Alligator mississippiensis: one gene and its partner. The protein of the gene in region 1 interacts with the protein of each later gene in a pairwise test. Links are inferred from orthologs where the notes say so. Each region holds a gene or a part of one and is shown on either strand. Other genes may lie near its edges. The genes, in order: GOLGA1 and PDCL2.

Region 1 (16,266 bases):
GTCTTAGAAGGAGACAACTGGTCTCCTTCCATCATAAATGAAATTAGAAACAGAAAAATAATTAAAATAGTCAACATGAAGGGTTTACATAATGCTGTATGCATCCACATACAGCAAGAATTCCAACATTTCAGATATCAATGAGCATATCAGATATCACTCTTTAACAAATTATAGTAAAATATTGTAGCATAAAACAGAAGTTCCCTTTTAAACTAATCTTACCATGTGTTTAACTTTGGCTATTTCTTGCTGCTGAAAGCCCTCCAGTTCATCAATTTCATCTCTCTTTTGGAAAAGGTTCAAACTCTGCTCCCTCATTTCTTGTAACTGAGCTGCAAGCAGTTTTTTCTCCTATTAAACAATCACCAAAAACAAAACAAAAAAAAAAAGTGGTTGAAAAATATTTTTATAAAAGTTTCAGGTCAACAGGATGTTACACTAAGCCCTTTAGGAAAGGAACCTTGTTTACATTCTCTATTATCACTACGCGCTATGATGTTGGTATATAAATAACTCAAACTTTTTTCTATATAACAACATGTCTTAACAAGCAGCACAGCATCATTACTGAAATCTGGGAGCTCTTAGATCCGCACTGTAAATATGACACAAATATAGAAAGGTCTTATACTAATCACTCAAGCATGTCAAAATGATAGGCAATCAGCACTAACTGCAATTCTAAATATGTTTCATGCCTCTATACTCTAAAATGCCTTGAGCAGAGATTGAATGGAACAGCTGAAACAACTATAATGAGACTGAATTCCTTAAAAAAAAGTACGTGAAATAAAAGGGGACCGATTTCCATTACAAAGCTGAAAATAGATTATATCAGCATATGCTTATTCACTGGAGGATACAATTCTATGGCCGCTGTAGTTGCACCAATAGTTACAGTTCCTTTAAGCAATATTGTTCTCTATGTTAGAATAAAGATATTCTCTTTTAGTGAAATACTCCATGTCAAATCCCCATGGGGCTTGTGCCCTAGACAAGTATTTCCATTTCTCTCAGCCAAAACCAGCAATTTCCTTCCCCCAGCTAAATGTAAATTTCCTAAGGTGAACTGAAGGTTATTATGGTGCTTAACAGCTCTACTGGCCATTAAGACAGAATACCTCGTTACTAAGTCCCATCAAATCAATACTACATGGAAAGAGTATTATGAGTGGTATAAAGCTCACTCCTTGCAACCAATCCAGCAGATGTAGTAGCAAATGCATAAAACATCCATAGCAGGAACTGGACATCAACATCAGAAAGCAAAGCATAACGGCCAACCCTAGAAGCACATTAAGAAATGGGAAACTTCTATGTGCCACTGTGGAGTCTGTACTAAAGAAGGTTTTGTTTAGATAGTGCCAATGGCATGTCTGGTGCTCACAGACAAATATGAGATGTCTTCTTGGTCTCACACAAGCTTACAGTGTGAAAATATAGGATGCTGTTTTTAAAGTGTAGTATTACTCACTGTCAGAGGGAAAGACCCTTCTTCCTCAGCTCAGGAACATTCTGCCATTATCGCAGTGGTAGATTAAATTACCTCTACACAGGCAGTGTGACACACCACCTAATTTCCAATGTCTGATCAGGCCAGTCTTCATTCTAACTCTAAAAGCAACTTGTTGGAGGCCTTTATGAAATCCACTTGCCCTATGTCCCAGCTGACCCAACTGTAAAACAGACATACTACTGCCCTACCTCCTGGGGCAAGGGTAGGCAACTTTTACCAGCTGCAGGATAGAATGAGCCACTATGGGTCAGAGGCAGGTGAGTACTAGGACCTGGCTACTGCCAGCCCCCATCCCTATGGAAGTGTAGGGAGAGTGCTCCACCAAAGGTCCCCCTCCCTCCACACTGAGTGCTGCCAAAGCCCCATGTCCATGGGCCAGATCTAATGGCTCCACAAGCTGGATCCATCTTGTGGGCTGTAGGCTGCCAACCCATGTCCTAGGGTGTTGTAAGGATTAACTTCTTTGTTCCTGAAAGCAGAATCTAAGCACTCTCTTAATACTCAGCTGATTAAATAGGAACAGTCTGATGCAGTATTTAAATTCACAGGGCTGGCATGCCCAGGCTTTCAAGTCTTGGTCAGTGTCTGAGACCTACGCTTTGTTACTCCCCACTCCAAAACAAATTCTAGGGTTAGCTTCTGAAATGATGGGCTTGGGAATGAAAGTGAATCTCAGGTCTCAGCCAGGGAACAAATATCAGATACTCATAGCAATTACATTTTTTCAGATCTTTTTTGCAGAGTACAAGGAAACACACAGACCCACTTATTACAGTGATATCAAAGGTGACTTACTTGTTCAACTTGAACCAACTTTTCCGTCCATTCCTGTAGGTTGGTGGGGGGAAAAAGGGTGCATCAAAATCCACGAAATGTAGTAACAATGACAACAAAAAGTATCAGAGTCACTGAAAGTATTACATTATGATAAAATATAAAATAAAAATTGTAGGTAAAAATAATCAAGGACGATATAATATACTAGTAAAATGTTATGAAATAATTGACATGACTGCATATCTGCTCTGTGCAAACAAAATTCCTGCACAGTAAATTAATATATTAAAATGGAGTTTTTATCAAAACAGCAAAATGCGAGGTTAAGTTTGTTAGAGATGTCCGTTGGCTTCTTTAAAGCAGCGAGAACAAGGCGTTGCAGAACAAAGACTTATCCCCTGTCAACACTATTTTGGACACTTACACCACATCACACCTCCTCGCTCCATTTACATGAAGAATAAGGCAAGACATTCTCTAGCCTAGACCCACCCGTGTCATGGGTAACAAGTGCTGTCTTTCAGCAGTGATTTTTTCATATCACACTGCCACCTCTGCTCCCTGTTGGCCACAATGATATTGCTTCACTCTTAAGCTTCTCACTATTGGTCAACTACTTCATCATTCCAGACCGGCTTTTATTACCTGGTCCTTTTTTTCCAATGCCAAAGCCATTCCTTCAGCCATCTTAGCTCTGTTGGCCTGGTAAGCCTCATTCTGCTCCTGAAATTTCTTCATGGAGGCTGTCAACAGAAAACCACTAGATGAGAAGTCAGTCACAGCATGCAAAGCTAACACTGTTTATTTGCTTCTGAACTAACTATGTCACAACAGAATTTAGAGACTCATTGTTAAATTGCTTAGGCTCCAGTGGTAACAACTCTTTAGGAATGGAATTGAGCCTTCTTTACGTTATACTGGATCCCCACTGTACTGAGCATACAGAAACAAAATGCAGTAGCAATGTTTCCAATGAACTACAGCAAGTCTACAGGTTTGAGTTTTTTTTAAAGCAATTATTTGCCAGGCACAAGTTTATTATTAAACATCAAATACAATTATGGCTTCTTCATCCAGCATGCATTAAGACAGTCTTATGTTTTTTTCTTTTTTTTTTTTTCCTGTAACTGATATGTGCTCCATTTGTAATGAGATCCATTTCCAACTGTATAGCCTTCAATACAGAACAGTTTTAAATTTAAAGAAAAAAATGGAAGAGAAAATAAGAATACATACAATCCTGATGTTTTTCTAATGCAATTTCAAGCTTCTCTTTTATCTTCTGCAAGTTTCGGACCTGATCAGCATAATCTTGGGCGAGGAAGGAAAAGCACAGACAAGGAATGGACAGACATTAGGGAAGGAAGTAAAATAAAATAAATAAATAATAAAAAAAGGATGAGTGGAAAGTGACAATGATTTTCCCAACTAGAAAATCATTCCTGTTAAGGAAAATTAGGCTGACCTTAACAATAAACACCACAAGCAAATAATGCTACCACACACTATCCATGGGGGAAATGGGTTGTACAAACAGAAGGGCCTAGTTGTGCTAATAACAGGAAAGGGGCACTGGGTATGGTACAAGGAAAGGGGAAGTTGAGAAAAGCAATTTGGTTCGACTCCTGCCTGGGAAGAATCTCTTCTACAAGACAGAATGAAGGAGCATGGGGGAAATTCAAGAAGAGTTCCCTTAATCCACAGAGTCTCCCACCATAGCTGTGTAATAGTTTGGAGGTAGCATTTTGACCAGTGACTAGTTTACCTGGCACGGCTTACAGCACCATATTCATACTTTTAAAACGCAAATCTTTAATAATGTAGAATAAGTAGCAAGTATTTTTTCCCTTTGTTGAGCAAAATTGATGAACAAACCAGATCAAAGGAAGAGCACACCTTGGACTACTCTTATTTAGAAATAAGGTGATGGATCCATTTACTGATCTTGGTGTAAGGCTGAAAGCACCTTGGCCATTTCCACCATCTCTGTCTTTGTGGTACCTGAACCCTTACTTACGCTTTCTGTCTTAATCCAAGGGTACACATTCCAGTTCTGATTGTAACGTAAGCCATCGCTGCACCCTCGTGTACTCCACAAGTAAGGGTGGGAGTACACACCTGAAGCTGCTTTAAACCGTGTTTTGTTTCCCAAAGCCCCTCCGTGAGCCATGGGAAGCAGAGGACAGCAACAGTGTAGTGAATTCCAGCCCTGCTCTGATTCACTCACTATGCAAGGGGCTGGGAGAAGGGTGAGAAAAGAGCACTTCCTCAAGCTCCGCGCTTGCCAGAAAGGCCCTTGGGACAGGGTGGTCTTAAAGGCTCATCCTTGCCTGCTTTAAGATTGCTTTATGCTACACTCTTTATTTTAGTGGTAGCTTCCCAGAGCAGAGACAGTGTTAGAACACCGCACTTTGAAGTCTTGGTTCCAGCTGGAACCCCTGGCTGTTACTGCAATACAGATAGCAAATAAGAAGTGTATGGGAGGAGCTGTCTTGGTTGCGCGTGGGGTGAGAAAGCTATCCCATCCATTCAGGAAGATCACATACGTGGGCCAAGAGCAGCAAGAAGACAAGAAGTCAGTCTGTATTGGTTCTGTACAGATTGTATTTTACAATGCAAGGACGCTGATCAACAGAAAGGTATAAATCAATTCAACAAAGTTATGAAAAGGGGGTTTGCTTTCCAGCTAAGTGAAAACTCTTAATTGCAAGGAACAGTATTTTCCCAAACAAAGTTAATAAGGTATCATCTGAACACATACCAGATAGTTTAGCCTCTAGTTTCCGTATCTGTTCATTTCGTCTAAACAACTGGGATGAGAGATCTTCTCTAGAGCTGCTTCCATCAGAGGCCTTTCCAGATTAGAGACAGAAAATATATATGTAGTATATGTAGTTTACGAGCTTCAGGAAGAATAATCCTACCACTCTCAAATTTTAATGACAGTAAACATTATTAGGACTAAAAATAAACAGTTTCAAATTTCTAGTGAAAAGGAAGATAAATTTACATAACATTACACGCATTTAGTTCTGCCAACTAAATGAATGCATACAACACTTAAGAGAAAAATAGTGTTTAAATAGTCAGCTCTAATTATGTTAGAGATTATTCTGACTTTCAGCAAGTGTCAGTTAGAAAATAAGAGGCACGGCACAGCAAAATGACTGGAAACCAGAAAGTCAAACTACACACCACAGATCCTAGAAAGGAGGAGTCAGTTTAGAAAGAAAAGCAGTAGGAAAAGGGAAACCTAACACTTTTTATCTAAAAACCATAATTAGCAACAGTCACTTAGAAGCATAAAAGACAGGGCTGGAAGGGATCTCAAAGAGTCACTGGGCGCATCTACATGAGAGGTATTGAGCACAGTAGACAAATTCTGCGCATTAGCATGACAGGCAAAACCTGTGCTAATGCACTAACACGCAGCAGAATTAGTCTATGGCATATAAGTTTCACCAAAAAAACCACGCACAGGCAGTAATGTGCAGTGGTGCCAATTATGGCGCATTAAACTTTGGCGCGCTAACAAATGTGTAGACATGCCCACTGAGTCCACATGTCTCAAGACAGGATTAGCCTTGTCTGAACTTTCTGGCAAAAAAGGGTTCATGGCACCAGTTTTACTCCACTGCAGCCCTATTTTTGCTCCTTAGGAAGTCAAAAGAAAAGAAGTTTACGCTGCCAGAGCACGGCATTCCTGAGAAGCGGCTGGTCATATGTTTATAAGTTATCTCCTGCTACACCACCTTTTCTGTTCTTTGTACCTACAATTCGTAGATACCCTGGGCGCTAACTTCACATCATTTACTACATGCAAGTTAGATCTATTTTTTTTTGTAGTTTACCCGAGTACAGGGGAAAAAAATCCGAAACACTCATGCACAGTAAACACCCACTATTCTCAATTCTTATGTGAAAGCAACTGTCAGAAATCAGTTTCCTACTTAGCTTGGCCACATGTTTGAGACTTGGAAAGCTTTTACACCATTTCTCAACAAAAAATATCCCCTTCATCTGGGGAACGAAAGCAAAGAGGAACCCGCTGTCTGCAGCAACACAGCGCACAAAGCCTGCTGGCTCAGGTGATGCTGCCCTGTAACCTAACCCAGGCGGTGGGCGACTGGATAACCTTCAGGAGACCTGACCGTTTCAGCCGGAGCGTTATCAAGTTCTTTTAACCTAAACACACCTGGAAGTACCTTATATATTTATATTGTGATTTCAAAACCGGTAACACGTGCTCATTCTATGCACTTGTTCAAACGCTATTTCCCGTGAAATCGAAGAGGTAAACAGAGAACCTGGTCACTACAAACTTCAGAGTCGACTTGCTTTCTCAAAAGCCTCGTCGTTACAACGACATAGTTATCTTCTGTTCTGCTGCAATATTGTTAGTACCTTCTATCTTAATTGGGCAATGCCCTGTCCTGGAGGTAACTGTGTCATTTATATACTTAATATGTAAAAATTGATTACGTTTCATACACCCTTTCGCTAATCTCCAAAGAAACGTTCAGACTTGATGTTACAGATGTATCCAGATAGGTATTCAAGCCATGCAAGACTAAAACCACAAATGTTGTGCTAGGAACATTACATTAAGAAATAAAATTCTTCTGGAGCAACGTATGTGACTTACAAAATCATCTCCTGAATCTGCTCCCACCGACGTGATGGACTCTTTGCTGACGGATCGAGGAATCCTGGCCGCCCCCCCTGGCCGAGGAGCAATAGCCGCCTCCTCCGCTATCTTCTTCTTCAGTTTTGCAAACATTTTATTGAAGCTGAAGTCCTCGAGCACCCGAGGAAGCGCTGTTTTGCGATGCGGCTACTCCGAATGAAACCGTTAACGCGGTGCGGCTGCTCGGTGAAAAGTTTCCAGAAGTCAAGATTTAGTTTTACGTCCCGTTCGCAAACGCAGGTCTAATCCCGAAGAGTTCACCACCGCGACATGCCTGCAGATTAAAGAGAGATCAAATGTCAGCGCCAAACCCAACAGACTCACACCCATACAGCCCAAAGGGCGTTTTGTCACCTCCATCACGCTCTTATTGTGCTGCCCCCGAAACGCCACGTTACCTACTCAACGGGGCCAAACCGCGAGTCCCTGTTCGTAAGCGGAGGCTCAGCCCAGTCGCCTGTGCCGGATACGTGCGGGCGGTGGCGGGCGAGGCGCGCCGGCTCCTCATCAGAAAGGCATGTTATTGACTTTCCACACGGCTTCCCTTAGCGCTGCTGCAGCCTGCAAATGGGGACGCAACCCGGGTCAGACCCAGGCCTGGCCCCCTCGCAGCCGCCTCAGGCACCGGGAGGCAGGCAGGCCCTTGCCCGGGGGATGGTCTGAGGGCCCCGCTCCCCCCCTCCTCGACTCCTCGTCCCCTTGGCAACGGCCACCGCCCTCACCGTGGGGCCCGCCGGCGACCCGGCCCGCCGCTTCCGGAGCCGGATGTGACGCCGTCAGCTGGAACGAGCCCGACCCGGAAGCACAACGTGGCCGCCGGAAGCGGCGCCCCCAGCGAGGGAGGGGCGCGCGGCGCATGCGCGGACGGCTGCGCCAGGGAGGGGGCGTGGCCGGGCAGCCCCACGTGGGCTGGGGTAGGCGCGTCCTGCTTCTCCCGGGAGAAGGCAGCGGCCTGCGCTATCCCGGGTTAAAGGCCAGGCCAGCGCGTGGGCCGCTCTCCTGGGAAGGCAGCAACCGCGCGTGCCCGGGTCCGTGGGGTCAGGGGCAGGGAAGGCAGCAAAGATGGTTTGGAAAGACGCCGCCAGGACCCCAAACAAGGGCACTGTATTAGCAAGAGGGAGGGATTTACTTCCTCACTTGGCTATTACATCTTGGCAAATCCAACGTATGAAAAGGACTGCTGAGAGAGTCCAAAACACCAAACCAGGACACGCTGCACAAGCTCCGTCCTCGCCTTTGCTGCTTAACTGGGAGCAGCAGCTTAGCCTCAAGGCAGACGGGCCCGGCCGCTGGAGGGCCAAGGCGCCCGGAGGCCATCGCCCCTGGTGCTTGCGAGGGAAACATTCCTCGGCTGCCTTCGGGTCTGCCTTTCCCTGAGCACACAGGCCTCTGCCTCGCTCAAATCTTCCTTCCTGTCTGCAGTCAAGTCGGACTGCTGTTTTACTCTTGGGTTGAGAAAAATACTCCAAGCACAGCAACATCCCTGCTTTCAAGTTCTGGTGCTTGGCCAGAAAAAAAATGACTGCCAAGAAAATCCTGTTCAGTGTCTGCAGCTTGTGCGTGCTCAATGCGGTCAGACCCACCCGAGAAGACACGGCAAAAATGCATCTCTTTGCTAAATGTCAAGTTTCTGATTCAAAGGATGGGGAAGTTCCTGTTCCTCACAGAAACGAAAAATAAAAAAACCTAACAAAATGTATTTTACCTCGCTTTCCTCTCAATCAGCTCAACTGTTTTAGCATAACTTTTAAAGTCACCTCATGGAAAGAGTCATTCCTGATGGAAATTTCATCTTGAATGGGTAAGTCTGGAAAAATATGAACACCCATAAAGAAAGTCCTATTACGTAATCTTCACTAGACAGCTACTACCAGCTCTGCTTATATCATCAGACAACCCTTTTGAAACCCCATGTCCGCAAGGTAGAAAAGGAAACAATCACCAATAGCAAGTCTGACACACAAACAACATTAATACAAACTATAAAGGAAGCAACTGGTACTCTAAAAGCTGGACTATGTACGAGCTGTCGATCAAGATTAACTTCCCTTCCGTTATCAAAAGTACTAGAAAGAACATCATCACCCAGCACCTGGAGTAGCACAGCACCAATGTGTCAATAAGCAGTAGCAAACAATTAAGCAAATATGTTTATTTTATATTGGTAATACACATAATTTATGAGTGGATTTCAGATACAAAAATCATGTACAATAGTTCACAACTGATGAGTGTAGCCACATTCTGGAAGAACATTTATCAATGTGAAATGTCATCAGCACTCCAACAGCAAAAACAAACATTTTCATATTTTTGTCATTCGAAGCAACATAAACATTGTTACAATAGTTCGTTCCCTTGATGCTATGTCAGCTCTGTGCAGAATCACAGTGTTAACTTGGAAACTGTTTAGTGGAGTAAAGTCTTCCCAGCAGCAGCAAGCAAAAGGATGGCGTATAAAGAACCACAATGCATTTGATGGCCATTAGGCATTGAATACCCACCATTATCTTGCTGGGTTACCTTCCATCGAACCCAACATGGTTTCACACAGTGTTGCACTAACTACAACATGAAGTATTAGTATTAGACTCAAAGCTGAGAAGAGAGATTAGATGGAGTGAAACAAATGAGAAAAACATCCATGGTTGAGGTTATGGCTTAAGTAATTTAGATGCATTAAAAGACAGACAACAGCTTATACAGTATTGCACGAGACAGACATAAGATTTCCACATCAACTGTGCGAACCGGTTTTTATGGTGACACATTTCTTGGTAGGTCTTTGCAGAAAGATGTCCTTTTTGACGTACGGTAAAACCAAAGGTGGCCTGAGATTTCCTCAGCGGTAGAAAGGCCGCATACCACACCGGTCAGATCAAGATAGGTTTCTCTTCAGTATATATATATCTATATTTATTTATTTTTTTGTTTTAAAAACTCAAGTCATAACAGACAAACTGGCGACAAGACATGGTTATGTAACAAAGGTAAACAGTGGCTTTGTTGAACCATCACAGAGGTTTGTTACCAAACAGCATCATCACATGCACTATAGACTAGCAGCACTTGGAACAGGATAGGTACATGTAAAACTTGTGCTTCCATCTCTTCAGGAGAGGGCTCCTATTAGAAATACAGCTGTATATTTCCCTACAAATGGCATCACAGTTCAACAACATTTCAGTTACATACAAGCATTTGCCACAGTTTATTAAAAGTCCTTTCATACCACTAAAAAGGCAAGTTATTTATTTATGACCTCCAAATAACACATTAAAAACAAGAATGTTACTTTCTAACAACAATACAAGGCTAGAAAAAGATTTACATAGTTATTAGTCTCTGTGGGGAAGGGTCAGAGACCAGGTGCAGACATGCTTGTTCCACACTTGGCTGATTTCAGGTTTCATTAGGATTGTAAGAAATGGTGAGTAAATGGTTACTCACTAGAATTAAAGGACTCCGTCCAGCTAGGATGTGCTAAGGAGCCCAAATACATCAGAGATCTACATACTTATAGCCCTTCCTGACCTAAAGTTGCTGCTGCTGCCGCCTGATTAAAAGCTTGTCTTATATACCATGTAAACTAGTGGATCAAGCCATTTACGTTGGGTGGCGTAGGCATTCTGGTTGCATGCCATTTTCGTTTACAGAAGCTTAAGTATGCCTTGCACCTTCATTATACAACATACCTTACAACTGGACAACTAAGAATTGAGAACAGCCATAAAAGAGATAACTCCTAAGGTTTTTATACAGCAAAAACAAGAGAAAAATCTGGAGAGCTAGTGGTTCGTTAACGGCCAGCTGACAGAAGCAAAAGCATACTAGAAATCTGCTTGCAAAATGGCACAGATGAAGGCTTAAAACCGATCATGGATGCAGTAAGCAGGCCTGCATACTACTTAATTCTAATTACTAATAAGAATCATGGTGGAAACTAACATTATTAAATTCTCACTTTAATCTTAGCTCTTTTTTATTCCTGAAATGTTCAGTGGTAACACAAAAAACATACTCCTTTCCTCCCAAGGACACCAAAATTGCAGAATATTTTCTGGCAATTACACAGTTTTGGTGATTTACAGATGCCTTGAAGAAAAGTCCATTTGCTTCAAAAAGTTCATCTATATATCTCTCTATATCTTAAGTAAAATATCTGTTTTTACCAAAATATGATATACAGGCACATGGCTGTAAAATAACTTTAAACCAATTCAATATAAAATTATTTTTGGTGATAAATAATCAGATTTCCAAACAGAGGCAGAAAGCTCCCCTTTCCTCCAAGGATGGGCTGCCAGAGGCACAGATCCTCTTTCTGGGTTTCTTAGATTTTGCCTTCTTCCAGCCCCATCTCTTCCGCTTATTACTTGGGGAGCCTAGGGGAGGGGCAGGAGAAGGTAGAGGCACATTTGTGCTTTTGTGTGTAATAGGCAGTGCCCTGCTCCTGGAGAGGGGAGGGGGGGGGGAGAAAAAAGAATTTCACCATGTTCACTGAGAAGTGGTAATGAAAGAGGCTGGAAGAAATCTGCAAAGCAGATAGGGTCCCTTCTTTTTGTAAGGAAATATTAGGGGAGCAGGTAACATGGTCTGAACAGGAAATTCAAAACAGCCTTTCTGCAGTTTCATCTTGTACGGAAGGTTTCATTAGCCCTGCAGGAATATGTGCAGGGGAACAACCTAATTAGATCTGAAAACTGTTTCAGTGCCTTACTTGAACAAAGAGTAGCATAGGAAGTCAGCTGCTCAAGTCTCAAAGCACGAAGTGAAGCAGGAATATCTGAGTAAAAGCACTTACGCATCTGGGCAACTGAGTTCGCAATAAGAATAAGTCAAGAAGGAGAGGAGAGATTTATTCCTTCACTCTTCTGAAACACCATTTAGAAATTCAGAAGTCTTCAGCAGGTTCTCTCAGCAACTGGGAAGAGAAGTGGCTTGGAGAAAAAGAAATAGCTAAAAGGAAGGCAGGGTCTTCTCTGGAGAAAAGAGCTGAACAGTGATGGCAACCGGCTTATCCTAAAAGCAAGCAAAAGTCAATCTAAAGATATACTTTTCACAGTTCCCTCTCACATTCAAACATCCAATACCCAAAGCCCCTGCACTAGATCTTCATAGATGGATCTAATGTTCCTCTACAAAGTTATTCAGAAATGTGGGTGATCTTCGTTACTTGCATGATTCCCACTTGGGGTATTTCTTTCCCAATCTGCCATAGAAGCATCCTTATCCACAGATTGGCAGTGCTCCAGTCCAGGTACAGCTCTTAGCCATCTACACACCTTTCCCCATCAGATTGCCAGTATTTTTCATACGAGTGCAGCTTCCCTTGACACAACAACTCAAGGAGCTGTTGTATCAAAAGCTATTGATCAACCAGTATTTAGAACAACTATGTTGCCTAGTCCTGCCTGTTCTGCATTAAAGCTCTGACCATTGCTACCAGCAGTGAGGTGTGATGCTGAGAAAGATTATTAGAGTCTAGTGAATGTTTGTAAGAGAAGCCTTAAAAAGAGAACAGCTATTTCAGAAAGGTTATTTTCAGGAAGGAGCTGACTTCAAAAGATGGTAGATTTGGACTGTTTTCTCCCTCAAAATAAAGAGCTCTGGATTCTTCATCTTTCAGATGACATTTTAGGATTACAACATTCATAGATTAATATCCAAATTTGATAGCCATTCAACTATTTCAGGGGTGGCTGCATGGATTGATTTTAGACTGCCATTAAATGATCTAATTGGGCAATCGTTCACCATGTGTTGCACCATCTGAAAAAAAAATCACACCACAATTGCAACCCGGACTCTCTTTGATTCTCCATTTATGGAGTAGGATTCAAATACAGGCTTTCTTCTCATCTTTACAAAGGCAGTTTTAACAGAGTTTATAATTGTAAGAGCTCCAAAGATGAATAGGTGTGTTCCTCTGAATCCTAAATCCCCATACTCTCATACTTTCTTTGACACTTGGAGAGGTCCTGGTACACTCTCTCTCTCTCTAAGAATTTCTTTGCATGCTTAGCTGAGAAAGTGGCTGCTATCTACTGAAGATTATTATTCCAAAGTCTATCAGGCCAAAGTTTCGAGACTTGCTCAGCATTCATTCCAGCCTAGCTTGTCCAATTGTCACACGTCCCCGATTCTGATGGAACAGAGCATTAGTATCTGCTGCACAAGAAACCCTTTTTATCCAGAGTGTGGTTAGTAAGTACAACCAAAGGAAGATCCACAGCTCTATTTTTCATTGTTAATCTGAGATGCCAAGGGAAAGAAGAGCAGTAAGTGTTAACCTTGGCCAGATGGTTTAAAGCTTAAATGGTACAGGAGTACAGGGCAAGAGAGATGCCACAAATGGCAGTAAAGGTTTATTTGATCAGGCCTGCTATATTACCATGAGCGGAAGGCAGGACCTATGGCAGAAGTCTGCCAAGCAGGCACTTAGTCAGGTTTGCATATTTCCCCGTCCCTCATGAACTTGACCTACCTATTGGTTTTAATTCAAGTCGCCTCTACTGTTGTAAGGAAGACACCCATTTCTGGGTGCCTGACACTGAATACCCATTTGTATCTGAAAATAGGGGCTCCACTCCCCCTCCAGATCTATCTATCACTGCTATCCACTTCTAAACTGAGGATTGCTGAATATGAAACCAATGGAGAAACACTTTTCTGATAAGTACAAACCTGCTGTGTATGCAGAGAACGGTATCTACAGACATATACATATGCATATAGTACATACACATGTTGATGATGACTTAGTACAAAGTGGAAAAAGAATTCTAATCCTCTGGTCTTGAATACTGCTGATTTTGTTGGAAAAAATGAGAGATCCCTTGTGATCTTCTCTATAGCAGATATGGGGTATTATTTTATGTATTTATCTTTTTACAAATACAATCCTCAGAGAGAAAAAAGAAGTGAAGCTCATGTCTTGAAATTCCCTGTTTTCAAGTTTCATTAACAGCAAATATTCTGAACAAAGTAATCATATGACAGAATAGTCAGGAAGAGAACAAGGTCTTCTTTACAAGCACATTACTGATTTTCTGGATTCAGTCAGTGCTACTAACATGTTTGGATCTTGATCCAACCTCCAAGTTCTCTTGTTTTCTTCACAAGCCTCTTCTACCACTTTTGTATGGGTGCTGCCATCTGGCCAGACCCATAACAGACTCCAGCTAAATGGGGCAATAAGACCAACTATATCACACTGTTTGACAGTACAGAGATAGGCTTAGGAATCGGAGAAATGCACCATATGCAAACTCTACCTTTCATCCTGGCTGAGCAGGATACAAGTTTGTCCTGCCAAGGCTTCTCCAGTCAGCTTCCAAGACATTCCACATGAGTTCACAAGGACACAAATGGGGCATTCCCCAAGGTCCAGAAGAGCATGCTTTTCTCAGATACAAGGAAATGAGCTGGACAAGAGCGAGATTCTCCCCCCAGTTAACTTACAAACATAAGGGACAGGGCAGCATGGATACTGCTCTTCATTGTCCTGTGACTATGAAGATCTTCCTACTCCTAGTTTCCCTAGCATATGTCCCAGGACAAAGCATGCTCCATGAAAGTCATAATGAAAGAAATAACAGCGTTAACTGTTAAACCATCCTGAGCTGTAGCAATTGGGACCTCCTGCACTTTGAGGAGGGTAGATTATCACTGCAGCAAGAAATATGGGTTCATTTCACAATGTTACTGTCCCCTCAATGAAAACTGGAATATTTGAATTTATAAAAGAAAAGCCCCTGATGACTAGATGAGGCCTCCTATACCTAGTTTCAGCCGCAAACAATTTCACAGAACCAAATATGAGCCCCTGAAAATAGAGGATTACCATGGGAATACAGCCACAACCTTAACTACAGCATCCTGAATGATGCTTCTAGAACACCCTCCTGGAATGCATCCCGATTGGCGTCTGTGTGTATATATATTTTTTGTATATACAACTCGTATTATCTCATATCTCCCTATATACAAATATTTACACCCACATACATATTTACAAGCACACCCAACCAGTGGGTGCGTGCGTCCTGTACATACACACACAAACGCCTTGTATATACACAGTCATTAAAATAATCTCATCTCAGCTAAAGACGGGTGGGTGACCAGAGAACCACAATCCTAGAGAAGAGAACTGCAGACCAAGCAGAGGCAGCCCGATCACCACTCACAATCTGCTCATAGGAAGAAACATTTTTGTTCCTAGTATTCACCTGAACTTTTGGTACTCAGACATGAAGGACTGATGGCACTGGCCAGGGCCCAAGACAGTGCAAGCAAAGGTGGCGCAAGCTTCCTGGCTGTTCTGCACTGTACTCCTCCCCGAGCCCCAAGCCAGAAGGAGACCAATCCCAGCCTGCAACACTCTCCACCCTTTATAGTCCAGCCTCTCTTGAACAGAAGGTCACAACATTGTGCAACAGTCCTGTGATAAGGCCCACTGGGGTTGGCATCAAATTAATGCAGCTACTCTTCATTTAAAAACTGCAATATCTGACTGGACTCCTGAGTCATGGGGCTGATTAAATTCCTTCCCCACCCTTTTCATTGTTCCAATATCAGAAAGGAACACAGACCAAAATCTTTCCCTAATGGCTTGGAACGCTCCATGTTGCTAACTCATACGGTCATGATCCGCTGTGCTTGCTCTACTGCGGTTTAATTAATACGGTACTTGGAACACCCTAATGGACTTAATTCAGACAGCAGAGCCATGCACAATAACAAAAGCTAGAAGGCAGCCTTTCCAATACCAGCCAGATTTTACCCATACAGAAGCAGCATGACTTCAGTTTGATTTGCTAATATTATTCCAGATTTGTCAATTCAGTCCATTTGAAAAACTATTTTGTAATTTTTGATATATAAATTATGCTTCTTTTCTACAAAGACAACCCTGCCCTGGATTTAAAAGCATGAATACCTTCTGGGCAGCATCAATATTCTCAGAAAGTACACTTCACTTTTTAAATATTTTTATAAAAGCCAAACATTGAAACAATGGTATCTGCTAGCCTTTAGCTTCGTTTTGGGAAGAGTTGTATTACCTGCTGTTGCTAACTCAAGTGAAGACTGTCTGAAATCTGGGGTGTCAATAATCATTAGGCTGGACGTATGAAACATTTACTTCAAAGCTCCTCAGCGCTCTCTCCTCTCTGCTCCAGGCTGCCTCTCTGTCAGCAAGTGCAAGAGCTCCTGCAGCCACTGTGCAACTCCAGAGGCATTTGTCCAGCCAGCAACAAACTCCCGCTTTCCCAGCAAA
Region 2 (16,435 bases), on another chromosome or scaffold:
AATATATTCTTCTTTCCAGGAGGAATATCAAGGGCCTGGAGCGATTCAGAGTAGAGGCTACTTTATTTTCAGGGTATGACTGTTTGTTTTTTTAATTTTCAAACGCAGCTTTATTACATTGCAAAAAGTACTGTACTTGGTATTAGTAAGTATATGCTAATGGAACGTGTTTCAGGAGCAAGGACTTATTATAGCTGAGGTTCTATCAGCATTCCTATCCACCTATCATCTTCAGAAATGCTTCTTTCAATTTCCATTGAACTCAATAAGTGAAATCTACCAGGCAGAGAACCTGTGTTTGTAAAGTGATTAGTGCAACTGTTGTATTGACATGATTTGAATTATGGGGGAGCTAAAGGAGTTAAGCCCCACATAAGAGACAAAATCTCCCCTGTAAGATCTGAAAATCATAACCTGAAGGGGGTCTCTGATTTTATTAGGGCGTCATGATGGGCAGCCCTTTTTTTTTTTGCAGGCCTCCTCAAGAGTCAAAGTGTAATTCAAACCCTGCAAATTGGAATTGCTAGGTGCTACTGCAGTATAAATATTGAACAAAATAATAGGCAGAGTGTGTACTGAGGACTTCTCAAATATAGCTAGCAATGTTTGTAAATATTTAACCTGGAGTCAGTGTCAGTATCTTGACATGGGAAAATTGCCCTCAAGAAAACAACTAAAAGGTTTGATTTACCAAATGAAAAAAGAAATCATCGCAAAATTTCCTACCAATAATACAGTAAAATATTTTTTCATGCAATGTTACTGTTTATTCTGAATAGATGTAATACCATGCTATTTCTTAATAAGCTATTGATTATCAGATATAAAGTCCTTGAACTGAGTAGGATTTAGAACCCATGATAGACGGACATAAATTATGCTTGTCTATCTTACAGACTTTGTTCAAAATTGCATTTCCATATTATACATAATAAATGCAGTGATATGCTTTGTTCTAGTAATTTATATATTCACCAGCCTCACTACTTGATTTTTCTACTTTTGTCACACTTTGTTTTGTTAATCACACTTCTGTAAAGTGGTTGTAAAAACAATCTCATCGGAATGCCCGTTTTCCATACATAACTCATGCTGTTGAGTTTTTATTGTTCTTTTTTAGCACAAAGGATTAAGCTAAAGATAATTAGATGTAACATTTTAATATTGACTTTCCTAGTTTTTGTCAACTTCTTAACATTTTCTTTCTAGTTAAATAGAAAACTCTCTGGCAGAGGGGGTGCGTATTTTGGATATTTGTTTCTCATGCATGAAACTTCAAGTTTGAGCATTATCTTAATAGGCTAAATTCAGAGCAATAATAGAGTTTTGGAGAGGAAGAATCAAACCTAGAATTTCTCAAAAGTTTTCTATTCAGCATGAATGTTGGTACTCTGGCTTCCATTCTTTATTTTCCCTTTTCAGTCTGTTCCTCTCTAATTTTCCTCCATGTTTCTTTTTCTTCATTTGTGCTTCCCATTCTTTCTCACCTTCTTTTTTATGTTCTTTTTCCTTCCCTGCTTCCTCTTCTCTCCAATTTTTGGATGGTCCCTAAATCCTTTAATCTCTTTGTAGATAATGTAGTTTATACTACTTTAAACAGTACAGTTCATTTTTTAAACAGTACATTTGAACTCTTATAAACAAATCGAATACTCTACAAAGTAATGTTTGGCATTGCAATTAATTTTAGACATCATATACACATAATTCCAGTCAACATACCTTCAGTTCTACCCTCTTGAACCTTTGATCAAACTCCATGCCAGTCCATAAGCTCCTGTCCTTAATATCCAAAAAAAAAATCCCATGAGAAAACAGGTGAATCTTGTGCAGTGTCTTAAAGCCACTAAATTGAAACTCTAAAGGACAAGGTAGTGATTTGACTTCCAAGCCAACAGTGTCTCATGATAATGCCTTACTGCCAGACCAGGGGTGAGCAAAATATGGCCCACAGGCTGGATCCAACCTGCCAAGGGATTTTATCCAGCTTGCAGCAGGTCCCTTGGCTGTACCTGGTCCAGACACAGGGGGCAGTCTGGGCCATGGCGCATACTTCCAGTCCTGCCACACCTGGGCATGCAGCAGGGCTGGGGCAGCGCGGCCAGACTCGCTTCCTGGCAGCCCTGGCAATGGCAGCTCCTTCCAGCTACCGCCACCGCCAGCCCCATCCCCAGCCTGTCTATCCCATACCCACCACTGGGGGTGGGACCCACACAGGCAGGGTGCATGGCTGGGTGGATGGGATGGGGCCACAGGCAGGCAGGGAGCAGTGTCTGGGAACAGTTCAGGCAGAAGGGGCCAGGATCATGGGTAACAATGCAAGGCCAGGGCCTGCACAGCCACAATCTGCAGTCTGCACATCCCTGTGACAGGTGCTGTTTCTGCAGGCAAAGCCATGCAGGGAGTGGATCATGGCTTTGCCTTGTGTCCCAGCCCTGCACTGTTACCACCTAAAGATTTCAGACCTGGTCCCACTCCCAGACACTGCTCCCTGCTTACATGCCTATGGCCCTATCCCATCTCCCTGGCTGCGAGCCCTGCCCACAGGGGTCCTAGCTGGTCTCCATGGAGACCCTGGGATCACAGGGCAGTGAAAGTGCAGGGCCTAAGTCCAGAGCCGAGCAGTGATTCGCTCCCTACATGCCTCTGCCTGTGGAACTGGTACCCATTGCAGGGGCGTGCAGGGAGCAGACCGTGGCTCTGCCCTAGGCTCTGATCCCACCCTGTCATGGCCCCATGATCCCAGCCCTACCTCCTGGGCCCGTTCCCAGACTGTGCCTCCTGCTTGCCCATGGCCCTGTCCCAGCTGCCCAGCAGAACATGGAGCAGAGCCCCTTAGGGAGTTTTGGTAAACTATATGGCTGGGGGTGGAAGCGGGTAACCTGGCCTGCGACAGCTCACCAAAACTCCCTAACTGGCCCTCGGGCCCAAATAATTGTCCATCCCTGTCCTAGACCCTTTCAATTAATTGTGGATTTTCTACTCAAGTCCTAGGACCTGAGTGTTTTCTAATACATGAGCTCAAAGGTTGGGTGTGCTCCCTGATGTATAAAAGTTGAGCTATTCAGGGTTTTAAAGGGTCAAAGCCAACAACACCTTGAGAGGCATGTTTAGTCCTTGTAGAAGAGATGCCTTCATCTTCTTCCCCTTGATGATGTATGCAGGACTTGGCACAATGCAGCCTGTAATACTTATCAGTAGTAATTTTGCTGCATAGTTGATTTTCAGAAATGGACAAACATTGTCCAATACTTTAACAAAGATATCTTAATTTTAACTGAGCAGTTATCTGGTAAAATATATGGGACAAATCAAGGAATCTAAAATGCAGTAGGTATTGGATTATCTGGGGCATTACTTAAACACCAGTCTGTTTTATAGTGTTAATTTCTTATCAGATATTGTTATTTTCTAGCCACGCAATGGAAGGAGATCAGCAGGTTTCCGCTAAAAAGGTATATATTTCATATTTTTAATGAAGACCTATATTCAAATCCTGTTCCTTTTTATAGTGAAACCAAGATACGTATTTGAAAAAAGTATCCATTAATTTGGGATGCTGAGATTTTTGAATAGCCAACTTGAGATATCTATAACCTGTTTTGGGATCAGGGTCAGAGCTGTTGGTACGTGCCCATCAACTTGAAGGCAATGGGTGCTGCAGATGCTGAGCACCTGTAAGAATTACTGTATTTTCACGCATATACCCTGCTGGGCATATGCGATTTTACAAAAAAAACAGATGGGTGCGGGCTATACGGGGGTGCGGGCTATGAACAGACTTTTTTTCAAAAGGGGGCCGCTGCGGGGGCTGGGGCAGGCTGGGTTGCGCCGCCACTGCCACGGGGGCTGGGGCCAGGGCAGGCTGCGCCACCTCCCTGCTGGGCCTGGGCTGCACTGCTGCTGCTGCCATGGGGGCCAGGCTGGGGCCGGGGCGGGCTGCGCCGCCTCCCCGCTGGGCCCAGGCTGCACCACTGCTGCCGCGGGGGCCAGGGCAGGCCAGGCTACGCCGCCTTCCTGTGTATACGCCGCCATGGGGAATACATGGGTGCGGTGTATACACGGACTAATTTACAAAAATAAAATTTTCCGTGGGTTATATGTGGATGCGGCTTATATCTGTGGATGGGCTATATGCGTGAAAATACGGTAAGCCAAAGGCATTTCAAGCAGTTAAAAAGTTGGCACATAAAAATTTCTAGTTTATCACTAGTAATAAATACATTTCTAGCGTGTGAACCAGGAAGTGTATAGCTTAATGTTGGATCGGAAGGTCAATTTGGTAAAGATGTTAGAAAAAATTGTGATCTTTACAAGTTTGATCCAGAAATCATTAAAAGACTTCTGTACACAGGTAGAATTCACACTGAAATTAAGGATTTGAGGACTGAACCACAAATGATCCAGCTCATGAGAAAAAATCTTGGGAAAGTACATACTACATTTTCTTTGCCCCTGTTGTGAAATGATGTTTTTTTAGTGTTTTTTTTAAAGCTGTTACATTATAGACATTTAGCATGGCATAACAGAAGTATATCAACAACTAACGTTTTGCATTTTTTTTCTTTCAGAATTTTTGATTCCTGACCTAGAATCACTGCTGTGGGAACACAGAGTATATGGACAAAATGGATTTCCCCACAAAAATTACTCTTTACTATTTGTACAATTCTCAAAAATCACTAGAATGTAAATGTTCCAAAATGTAGATTTGGTTAAGATTGCAAATGCTTCTTTAATTTCTTGACTGCATTAAAAGCATCTTAAAATTAATGATTTGTTTCTAGTGTTGTTTTGTTTTATATATTTTATATATATATATATATATATATATATATATATATATATATATATATATATGCACTAAGTAGAGAGTTGATTTTAATGAAGAATTCTCTATTTTACATAATACATTTGAATGTTTAGATTATTTAGTACTGATAGAAAATACAACTTAAATTATTTTGTAATATAATATGCTATACCTAATCTATTAGTTTCTGTGCAGATTTATACCAACAATATAGGCTTATATTTGTACATTTTATTCTTTATATATGTTGATACTTTGAGTAATTCCATTTTAACTGAAGGTCTTATACCTTTTAATATCTGTCAAAGAGGAAAATCAGTCCCTGCAAACACTCACATGTACAAGCTATATAAAAGCTATTCTTCTAAGACAGGAGTGTTCAGCCTCCACCCCAAGGGTCAAATGTGGTCTGCAGAGCCATCACATCTGTCCCACAGGGCTCCCCATGGGCTGGGAAATTTGGCAACAGGAGAGCAGTGGCCACCCTCCCTCACTGCCAAATTGCAACTCTCCCTCCCCCAGCACAGCCAGGTCAGGGCTGGGCTGTGCCCCTTTTCTCCACTGCTTTTCCCCATTTGGCTGAGTTGTGGCCCCTCACCCCCACAGGGCTGGATCTGGTTGGCTGCCTCCTCACCCTCTTCTTGCAGCTGGCTCAGGGCCACTGTCCACATCTGACTAGGGTGGCCATTCATCCGGTTTCATAGAGGACAGTCTGGTTTTCTGGTCATAGATTCATAGATGTTAGGGTCGGAAGGGACCTCAATAGATCATCGAGTCCGACCCCCTGCATAAGCAGGAAGGAGTGCTGGGTCTAGATGACCCCAGCTAGATGCTCATCTAACCTCCTCTTGAAGACCCCCAGGGTAGGGGAGAGCACCACCTCCCTTGGGAGCCCGTTCCAGACCCTGGCCACTCGAACTGTGAAGAAGTTCCTCCTAATGTCCAATCTAAATCTGCTCTCTGCTAGCTTGTGGCCATTATTTCTCGTAACCCCCGGGGGCGCCTTGGTGAATAAATCCTCACCAATTCCCTTCTGTGCCCCCGTGATGAACTTATAGGCAGCCACAAGGTCGCCTCTCAACCTTCTCTTGCGGAGGCTGAAAAGATCCAGTTTCTCTAGTCTCTCCTCATAGGGCTTGGTCTGCAGGCCCTTAACCATACGAGTGGCCCTTCTCTGGACCCTCTCCAGGTTATCCGCATCCCTCTTGAATTGCGGCGCCCAGAATTGCATGCAGTACTCCAACTGCGGTCTGACCAGCTCCCGATAGAGGGGAAGTATCACCTCCTTGGACCTATTCGTCATGCATCCGCTGATGCACGATAAAGTGCCATTGGCTTTTTTGATGGCTTCGTCACACTGCCGACTCATGTTCATCTTGGAGTCCGCTAGGACTCCAAGATCCCTTTCCACTTCCGTGCCACCCAGCAGGTCATTCCCTAGGCTGTAGGTGTGCTGGACATTCTTCCTCCCTAGGTGCAGCACTTTGCATTTCTCCTTGTTGAACTGCATTCTGTTGTTTTCTGCCCACTTGTCCAACCTGTCCAGATTTGCTTGCAGCTGTTCCCTGCCCTCCGGCGTGTCCACATCTCCCCATAGCTTTGTGTCATCTGCAAACTTGGACAGAGTACATTTCACTCCCTCGTCCAAGTCACTGATGAAGACATTAAAGAGTATCGGTCCAAGGACTGAGCCCTGCGGGACCCCACTGCCCACATCCTTCCAGGTCGAAACCGATCCATCCACCACGACTCTCTGGGTGCAACCCTCTAGCCAATTCGCCACCCACCGGACTGTGTAGTCATCCAAGTCACAGCCTCTTAACTTGTTCACCAGTATGGGGTGGGATACCGTATCGAAGGCCTTCCTGAAGTCTAAGTATACGACATCCACCCCTCCTCCTGTGTCCAGGCGTTTCGTAACCTGGTCATAAAAAGAAACTAGATTGGTCAGGCACGATCTGCCTGCCACGAACCCGTGCTGATTTCCCCTCAGCATAATTTGCCCTGCCGGGCTCTCACAAATGTGAGCCTTGATAATTTTTTCAAAGACTTTGCCAAGGATGGAGGTGAGACTGACAGGTCTATAGTTGCCCGGGTCCTCCTTCCTCCCCTTTTTGAAAATGGGGACCACGTTGGCCCTTTTCCAGTCCTCTGGGACTTGGCCCGTGCGCCACAAGCTTTCAAATATTCCCGCCAGTGGCTCTGCAATGATGTCGGCCAGTGCCTTCAGCACCCTTGGATGGAGCTCATCCGGGCCCGCCGACTTAAAGGCATCCAGTTCTTCCAAATGACTCTGCACCATTTCAGGGTCTACGCATGGAAGTCTGGCGCCTTGCTGCTGCCTCTCTACAACCCCAGTGAGAGACTTGTCGTGCCCCTCTCTTAGGAACACCGAGGCAAAGAACTCATTGAGGAGTTCAGCCTTGTCCCCCCTGTCCGTCACCAATTGTTTCTGCCCATTTAGCAGGGGTCCTATTCCTCCCTGGGCCTTCCTTTTACTCCCTATATATCTAAAAAAATATTTCTTGTTGTCTTTTACTTGGGTTGCCATCCTCAGCTCCATGGTAGCTTTGGCCTGTCTAACTGCCTCCCTACAAGCACAAGCAGAGGAGGTATATTCATCTTTGGTGATCTCTCCCTGTTTCCACTTTTTATGTGCTCCCCTTTTGTCCCTGAGGCTGCCCTGGATTTCTGTGGTCAGCCAGGGAAGCCTCCTGGCCCCTTTCCCTTTTTTGCCTCGCTCGGGGATTGTCTTGCTTTGTGCCCGAAGGATCGTTTTCTTAAGGCACAGCCACCCTTCTTGGGCTTCCATGTCTTCAAATCTCCTACTCTGCAGTGCGTCCTTGACTAATCGCCTGAGTTCATTGAAATCAGCTTTCCTAAAGTCTAGCACTTTCACCCTACTAGTTACCTTACCCACTCGACGTCTTATGGTGAATTCTATTATTAGGTGATCACTGTCCCCCAGATGGCTACCCATCTGGAGGTCCCCTACCATGTCATCTCCCGTTGCCAATACCAGATCCAGTATGGCATTCCTCGTAGTGGGACCGTGTACCTCCTGAGTCAGGTGGAGGTCCTGTACACAGGTTAGAAACCTTCGTGAGCGGTGGGACTTTGCTGTCTGTGACTCTCAGCAGATGTCCGGGTAGTTTAGGTCCCCCATGACTACCGCCTCTTTAGCTTTTATGGTCTCCGAGAGTTGCCTCAGGAGCCCCGAATCTCTTTCTTCCCCTTGATGTGGGGATCTGTAGCAGACCCCTACCACCAAATCCCTTTCTCCTTGCCCCCCATGTAGCCTAACCCACAATCCTTCTACTTCCTCATCCTTGGATTCCGTCTTGATAAGGGTTGATGTATATTGCTCACTGACATAGAGCGCAACTCCTCCCCCTTTCTTCCCCACCCTGTCCTTTCTGTACAATCTATAGCCCTCAATATGTACCGCCCAGTCATGGGATGAATCCCACCAGGTTTCCGTTAGCCCCACTAAGTCATAGGTGTTTAATGCAAGCAGGAGCGCTAGTTCATCCTGCTTGTTCCCCATGCTCCTAGCATTAGTATATAGGCACTTGAGCCCTGCGACTGGTGCCTTTGCTGCCCCCCCGCTCCGAGTCCCAACGGGCCCTTTGATTCTTACCTTCTCGTTTCTTACCTGTGCCGTAGTGCTGGTCTCCCCATGGCTTTCAGGTTCCTAATGCTCTCTTTCTTCAGGCTGGGCTGTCCTTGTGGGTGTCACATGGTTTGGTGGTCCACAGCTTTCCCTGCCCTCATCTTCCCCTCCCCCCAACGAGCCTAGTTTAAAGCCCGCCGGAGGGGATCTGCCAACCTAGAAGAAAACACACGCTTACCTTTGGGGGACAGGTGAAGCCCATCCCAGCTGAGCATGTCCCTCGTCGTGATGTGCAGGTCGTTGTCCAATGTGCGGGTCGTCTGTCCTCTATTGATATGAAACTGGATATCCTCTATTTTTCACGACTTGGCACACCCTTCCCTCCCTCTCTCCGCAACCGACACTGCTTGGCCTGCCCTCGCCTCCGCCATCATTGCAGATGCCTGTGGGAGCTCGCTGCTTGCTGTCACCACAACCCCACTGCCACCACCGCCGCCACTGCCTGTGGGAACTTGCCATGCTCCCACCCCCAGCTTTGGGAGGCATGCGACATTCATGGTGGTGGGGACAGTATTTTTGAAGTACCTCGATGGCCACCCTACATCTAACCCGTGGACGGACTGGGCACTGCCTATATGGCCTACCAAGGAAAAATGGTTGAGTATCACTGGCCTAAGACTTCTTTGCCTCTCACATAATTCCTGGGCCATCACGGCTACCATATCACTCTTAGGTCCCTGCCACCCATTCAAATTAGCTGGATAGAAACCACATATAAAGCTGTTACATATTTGCCAAGCACTGTCTTGGTAGCTGTTTGGCTCTTTTTATAGCTGGATGGACATTTTTATGGAGTGACTGTTACTTTTGTACCAATTAATTGTGTCATGAACTCAAGGTGTGGCGGGGGTGAGCCTCACACTACCAGGGGCGTTATTCAAATGCTCAAATAAATCTGCTAGGCCCACGTCTCCCTGCAAGGGCTGGTTCCCAGCCCCATTTTGCTGAGGACACGACACAACAGCTGTGCTGGCAGCTCTCACCGGGTCATTGCAGCCAGCAGTAGGCAGTGGGTCGCCAACAGCAACCTGCCCTGCCGAGCCCCTCTCAGCACCTTTCCCCCGCCCCATCTTTCTCTGGCACCAGGTTACACCAATGTTGAACACATTCTTACGTTAACATTTTCCACATTGAGACAGCTCTCAGTGTCTACCTACAAAGATTTTGAACAGAAAAAAATATATTGAAATATTTTGCTTCTGCACTGAACAAGAGGACTCGTTTTTTTGGTTTGTTCTTTTAAGTGAAACCATATGAAGGAAGGAAACTAAAAGAATTCAAGGAAGCTGAAGATGGGTTTGAGGAAGGGGATATAAAAGCTGTTGAACAGTTTCGGTGTAGGACGTTACTGGAGCAGCCCCGTGACGGAGGGGCGCAGCCCTTGCCAGCGCCCTGCCCTAGGTGTTGGGGCGGAGATGGCTGCGCCCCCGTGTGCTGCCGCCAGGGGAGCCCTCTTGGGGGCAAACCATTCCTTGACGCAGGGGGGTCCTATGGAGAGAACGACGCTGCCACCGCCTTTATTAACAAATGGATCCGCCCGGCGACCGGGCCAGCGGCCGTTAGGATCCCGTGCAGGGGCGGCCCAACGGTTGCTGCGAGCAGGAGCGGCGCCATGCAGGCGAGCGGGGCCGGGGCCGGGGCGCCGCTGGGCCTGGGGCTGGGGTGCGGGGAGGGCGGAGAGGAGTCCGGGTGGGCAAGTGCCGAGGTCCAGCTGGAGATTCCCGGGTGCATGCCCGTGACTACGGGCGCGTGCGAGCGGCCAGCCCTCCGCATACGCGTGTAGGCACGCAGACGTGCGCGGCTGAATGACGTGCACGGGGCAGGTCCGTCATACCTGCCCCACGTGTGCCCGGGATCTTGGGTTCGTGCCCTGGCTGCAGCCTCTGCTCGTGCTGCATCTGCTTCCCGGCCTGCCCTCACACGGGGGCCCCAGGGCAGGTTCATCTGGTGGCGCTCGCCCGTGCCCAGGCGCTGTGTGGGTCTCAGCGTCCAGTTAAGAGCCACTCTGTTACATCGTGCCATGTTGTGTCCTGGATGGTATTGTATACCAGAGTGGAAAAATAAAGAAACCATTCTTGTTTGGAAACAATATAGAAATGTCTGTTTTTTTGCTTTGTTTCATGATTTCCAAACAGGATCCCAACGAAGATACAGAATGGAATGATATATTAAGAGATTTTGGGATTCTGCCTCTAAAAGTTGAGCCGAAAGATGAAACCGAAGAAATGGTTTTGCGCTTACAGAAAGAAGCAGAAGGCAAGTACTGTTTGACCCTTAACACCATTCATAAAGTAATAAAGATCTGACACATCTCGTGTCAGAAATTCATTTTTAAAAAGGAGTATTTTGGTTATTTTATTTGGTCTTGTGTTATTTTTCAGTGAGCTATTTTTAAAGTAGCGAATTAAAAAAGAATATTGCATTGAAGAAAGTGAGAGAATAATAGCACCATAAATTTTGCAGTAGAGTCAGTAACATGCACCATGGTATATAACAGGGGTTTTCAACCTTTTTTGGTTGGTGTACCCCCTGCAGCCGGTCAAGAAGTAGGAAGTCCAATCAGTGAGCGGCGGGTGGTCTCCTGTGCACAGCAGCAAAACTGGAAGTGCCCTCTGCTTCTCCGCGCCACTGCCACGTACCCCCTGGGAGCTTCCCAAGTACCTCCAGAGGTGTGCCTACCCCTGGTTGACAACCCCTGGTATATAACATGAAAAATCAACCATTTAGCTTTGCATGGTCTGTTTGAGGCTTTGGTGCCTAATGAAGTAAATTTACCATGTAGCCATTGCCTGCGACAAATGGAGCACATGAAAATGACCAAAGTAGTACTTTTTATATTTACTGATTGCATCTATATGTATACTTTACTGCAGAGTTGACTAGTTCTACATTAAGGTATCACCATCTACACAAGCATCCTTATGAGGTGCAGTAAATTAATTAATTCCGTTATAGGATAGTACTGTCCAGGACAAGTATTATCCTACGGCAGAGTTACCTAGTACGCCGTAACGCGTGTGTAGACAGTGACCAGGGCTGTCTGGGGCAGGAGGGTGCTACAGTGTGGGGGCTGCCTGGTGGCTAGCCCCACACTGAAGCACCTTTGTGCCCAGCCAGCTCCCCTGCAGCATGTTGTGCCAGGGTGGAGGAGCTCCAGACTGGCAGGCTGACACCCTGGGTCCCCTGTCAGCCAGGGCTGCTTCACCCCAGCTTAGCAAGCTGCGGTCTTGGGCACACATGTAAATATTGTGCCCCAGACCAATAAACTCCAGCGTGACCTGTGCTGGAGTTTATTCCTACGTTCTAATTACACATGTAGGTGCACCCACTCATACTTAACTTGCCATCTTTTTCTTGCACCAGGTTACACTGATGTCGAACAACAAATTCTTAGATGAGATGTAATATTTTTCACATTGAGATGGCTCTCAGTGTCTTCATATAAAGATTTTGCACAGAAAAAATACTGAAATACTGTTTCTGCAGTGAACAAAAGCACTAATTTTTTTTATTTTTTTTTTTTAAGTGAAACCATATGAAAGCATGACTCTAAATGAATTAAAGGAAGCTGAAGATGAGTTTGATGAAGAGGATATGAAAGCTGTTGAAAAGTATAGGTATACTAAGACATTACTTGCCATATTAATATAAATTGTTTTGTAAGTGTACATCCATCTGATTCCCACTGTAGGTGAGCATGCATCTTGGGCTTGTGAACTTGGAATTTTTTAATATCTGTGTAGGGTCTACCTATATGTCCTGTACCTTCTCAGGTTCCTGCTTGAAGACATTAAAGGGTGGAGCAGCCATAATCCTCCCTAAATTCCATTTCATTGCCTGTAGCAGTGACATAGAACTTGAACAGTGTCCAATTCACTATGACACTATGACCCAAACTCTTTCCATGTATTTAGTTATTCTGGGGGTTGGATGATTCCCTCCCCCTCTGACCGTTAACAAATGGGGACATAATATGTGTATATTCTGATTTGGACATAAAAATATGCATTTATCACTCCTCTTCTTCCTGGACCTGGAATCTGAAAGACATCAGATTCAAACTAGGCCTCTTGGGCTAATGAATAAAAGGAACATCAGGTGCAAGAAAGGAATGACTGCCCTATGTAAAGTTGTACATTTAAGATGGAACAATCACATACAGCACCACAGATGGGAATGACTAGCCAGACTGCATTACTGCAAAAGGGGATGTGGGAGTTATAAACTGCAAAATAATCCAGTAGCATTCAGGGGGTTTGTTAACAAGAGTGTCATCTGCAAATCAAGTGGAGTGATTCTTCTACTTTGTTCAGTACTTGTGAAACCTCACCTGGAGTACTGTGTCCAGTTTTTGGCACAATTCAAGGAAGATTTGTCCAAATCTGAGTCCAGAGGAGAGCAACAAAATGATTTCAGATTTGAAAACATGATTTATAACAGGACTTCACAACTTCTTTGTGGCTAGGGCCTGCAGGCACACGACATGCAATTCCCCCTACCTGCCCTGCTCTTTTGCACTACCCTGGTGCCTCAGGTCCCTTGAGTCCTCCTTCAGGTATGTGGGCCATGCTGTGCTTCCCCCAGAGATGGGGGCAGGCAGCGAAAGGTGGAAGAGGGAGGGGAAGGCTGGAAACTCCAGCAGGAGAGTAATGGAAAGGGCACAACCCAGGCCAGAGACATGGGCCACCAGTTGGATAATCTTTCTTTGTAAGAAAGGTTAGAAGAATTGGGATTATTTATTCTAGGGAAGAAAAGACAGAGGAGGGAAATCAGTGGCAACATGTAGGGGGTGCATGGGGGTGCACGTGCATCCACTGAGAGTGCCGGTGCACCCCCTGACTGGCTGCGCTCACCACTTAAGCGATGGACAGGTAGGCAGGCAGGAGCGCTGGTGCTCCCCCTGCAAGTGCTGGCAGATCGCTGCAGCCATTCCCAGAAGTGGCCACAGCCATTCCTGGTCAGTGGGACTGGTCATTGGGGGGGGGGGGGCACATGACCCCCCTGACTAAGGCAGCATCAGTCGCCCATGGGGGAAAAGCATTGGAATAGATTACCTGGAGAGATGCTGTCTTCATTCTTACATGTTTTAAAGTACAGGTTAGGCAAACACTTGTCTGAAATAATTTAGGAATGATCCAACAGGGTGTTGAACTAGAAGACATCTGGAGGTCCCTTTTAGTCCTGTTTTTTTCTTATTGTAGCACAGGGAGTTCTGCATCTAAATTTTGACACATTATGGTATATAAACATGTACATACAGAATACTGTGCATTGAATGTTTAATTTTTTATATTTTTTTTTAAGAAAACCAGCTTAAAATAAAGGTTTGGGTTATTTCAGTACTTTTTCATAGAACTTAATTTCACCATATATTTTCATAGATGAAGACTGCCACCTACTGATTTTTCATTCAAATTTTCAGTAGTTGTTACTAAATAGTAAAACATCAACATCTGGCTTTCTTTATTAAAAAAGAAGTTTGTTTTTAAAATCAGAAACACAATTTGGGCTTTTTATTTAATTTGAAAGTTGTATTAAAAAGAGTTTATTTTTGAATTAGGCAACAGCGCTTACAAGAATGGAAATCTCTTCAGAAAAGACAAAAATATGGGGAGCTGAGAGAAATTTCTGGAGACCAGTACATTAAAGAAGTTACAAATGCTCCAAAGAATGTGTGGGTTATAATTCATCTATATAGATCAAGGTAATGACTAGGATTATATTTTTAAAAAACTTTTATTCATTTAAGACTCTAAGACACTTCAATTTAGAGTACTGAAAGTAGCATGAAGAAGAAGAAAAAATGACACATGCAGAAAAGACTGGTGGAAAGGTGCTGGTTTCCTATATCCCAATTTAGGAATAATCTTGGAAAATATTTCCCTATTAGTACAGTAAACAGGTTGTATTCACTTTCTGCTTATGTGGAACTAATGCAAACGATCTCTCTGGCCACTTGCCTTTTTCATATATAAATTGAATCCATGCTAGACTTGATAGAATTTCACATGTTCATATTGAGAAGTAGGTCTCCCCTTTCCATGCTATAGAGCAGTAGCTCCTTTGCAATGCTCCTTGAGAGCTCATTTTTCAGGATTTTGCCTCCCTCTTGTCTCACTGCAAAAGGAGAAGGATCTTTTATGAATATTAAGAAGGGTCTGGGATTTCCCTAATTTAAGTATTCCAGAACTGGGGTGGGTAATTTATTTCAGCTAGAGGGCCACTTAATGAGTTTTGGGGACCTGTCAAGGGCCACATTCATCTTTCTTCTCTCTCTCTTTCTCTCTCTTCTCCCTTTCTCTTTTGTCTGTCTCTCCTCTGCTCTCCCTCTGTCTGTCTCTGTCTCCTCTTTTGTCTTTCTCTCTGTCTTTGTCTCTCTCTGTATCCCCTCTCTTATCTCTCTCTCTCTCTCCCCCTCCTCTTTCCCCTTATTCCAGAACCTGCTGGATCTGTAGTTTGCTGCAGCAGGCGAGCACCAACATCACCACTGCTGGTAGGTTCAGGAGCCCAAACACAGAACCTGCTAGTGGCGTCTATAGGTGACATCACTGCCATCCTGGCATGGTAGAAGCTCTTGCCCAGAGCCCCAAACTGGAACCTGCCAGCAGCATCAGCTGTGGACTCAGGCAGGAGCTGCTGCTGCACCAGATGGGCTGTGGTGTCAGCTGTGGGCAGAGCCAGCAGGTTCCGGAGCCCCGACACAGCTGATGCTGCTGCCTGCCTGGCACAGCAGAAGCTCCTGCCTGGGTGCTCAGGTTCTAGGTTGGAGCTCTGGGCAGGAGCTTCCAGTGTACCGGAAGGGTGGTGACATCAGCTGTGTATGGTGCTGGCAGGTTCCACATCGGGCTTCTGAACCTACCCGCAGTGTCTACAGCTGCTGCTGCTGCATGCCGGCTGTGGCAAAAGCCTTGCCTGGGTCCACAGCTCATGCTGGGTAGAACAGTCTTGCCTGCAGCTGGAGGCACCAGCCACCCGTGGGACAGATACAATTAGTTGGTGGCCATCCACCCATTGGCCAAATCCAGCTTGCAGGCTGTATTTTGTCCACCCCTGTTCTAGAAGATTTCCAGTGATAGAAGCAGTTGCAGGATGGTTCAGTGGTAAGATCAAAGAACTCTCATGTTTAACTCCATATGTTAGCAACTCTTTCCCCTTATTTAAACAGTGCTGAGGAAGAATTTGAAATTTAACCCTCTTTTTTGAGACAGGACATTTTTAAGGACATTGGAACAGTTTCTCCAGTTCTCTCAGTTGCCAGGAAGCAACTTGTCTTTCCAGGAGCAGATAGAACCAGATATCTGTTAACCAGATAGAAATACAACTTTCAGGTGTAAGACTTTTCATACTACCATAAAAATACCTGGAAGGATTTTTGAGAAATGTTTAGGTTCCTTGGGGTCTGTGCTCTTGTCTTACATGCTTCCTTTTAGGTGACAGAAGTATTTCTTACACAAATTAGTAACACTACTTTCCCACCCTTCATGTCAGAACCTACAAAAAGGAGGTCCCTTTGTAAGGGGCTGTATCTCTAAGGTGGCACTCTCTGGTGGCCACCCCAAGCCTGTTCCGCACTCTTGTCACCAGCAGGGTACTGCCCTGTCTTTTCCTGCCATCTCTTGATGTTTGTTAATTAATATAAATTTGGGAGGCATCCCTTAGAGTCCCAGAATGACACTTTGGGTGCTCTGTTCCACCCTGCTCATCAGAGGCCAGACAGAGGGGTCCCAATCTTTCACTGGTTCTGATTCCTAGTAGGGTGTCTGGTCTGTGGACCCTCTGCCAGCCTACCTGAGTCTGTGGGGCCTTATGCCCCCCCCTCTTCCAGTCAGTGTCTGCATTGCCCACGCTCTCCAGCCACCCCAGACAGGCACTCCCAGGACTTCAGGAGCCTGATTCTGCATGCCTAGGAATATCCCTGCAGGGGAATTCCCAGGGTAGGCAGGATTAGG

Evidence for each region.
Region 2: the proteins of GOLGA1 (region 1) and PDCL2 interact in a two-hybrid assay, tested with the Homo sapiens proteins (2 studies listed by BioGRID). The two-hybrid records come from large-scale screens. The link is inferred for Alligator mississippiensis from reciprocal best matches to the Homo sapiens genes GOLGA1 and PDCL2.

What each region holds. Positions count from the first base shown.
Region 1 is NC_081835.1:66,396,708-66,412,973, reverse strand, and holds the start of GOLGA1 (golgin subfamily A member 1), read right to left. Parts: upstream 7,780-16,266; 5' UTR 7,706-7,779; intron 7,633-7,705; exon of another isoform or gene 7,545-7,632; 5' UTR 7,382-7,544; intron 7,258-7,381; 5' UTR 7,077-7,257; coding exon 6,942-7,076; intron 5,149-6,941; coding exon 5,058-5,148; intron 3,608-5,057; coding exon 3,533-3,607; intron 3,040-3,532; coding exon 2,942-3,039; intron 2,348-2,941; coding exon 2,315-2,347; intron 355-2,314; coding exon 226-354; intron 1-225. UniProt on the Homo sapiens protein: Involved in vesicular trafficking at the Golgi apparatus level. Involved in endosome-to-Golgi trafficking. Mechanistically, captures transport vesicles arriving from endosomes via the protein TBC1D23.
Region 2 is NC_081825.1:60,559,579-60,576,013, reverse strand, and holds the start of PDCL2 (phosducin-like protein 2), read left to right. Parts: upstream 1-9,974; 5' UTR 9,975-10,098; coding exon 10,099-10,104; intron 10,105-10,621; coding exon 10,622-10,742; intron 10,743-12,012; coding exon 12,013-12,103; intron 12,104-14,046; coding exon 14,047-14,190; intron 14,191-16,435. Other genes in the region: NMU (neuromedin-U), read left to right, coding at 20-73, 3,416-3,451. UniProt on the Homo sapiens protein: Essential for male fertility, spermiogenesis and acrosome formation.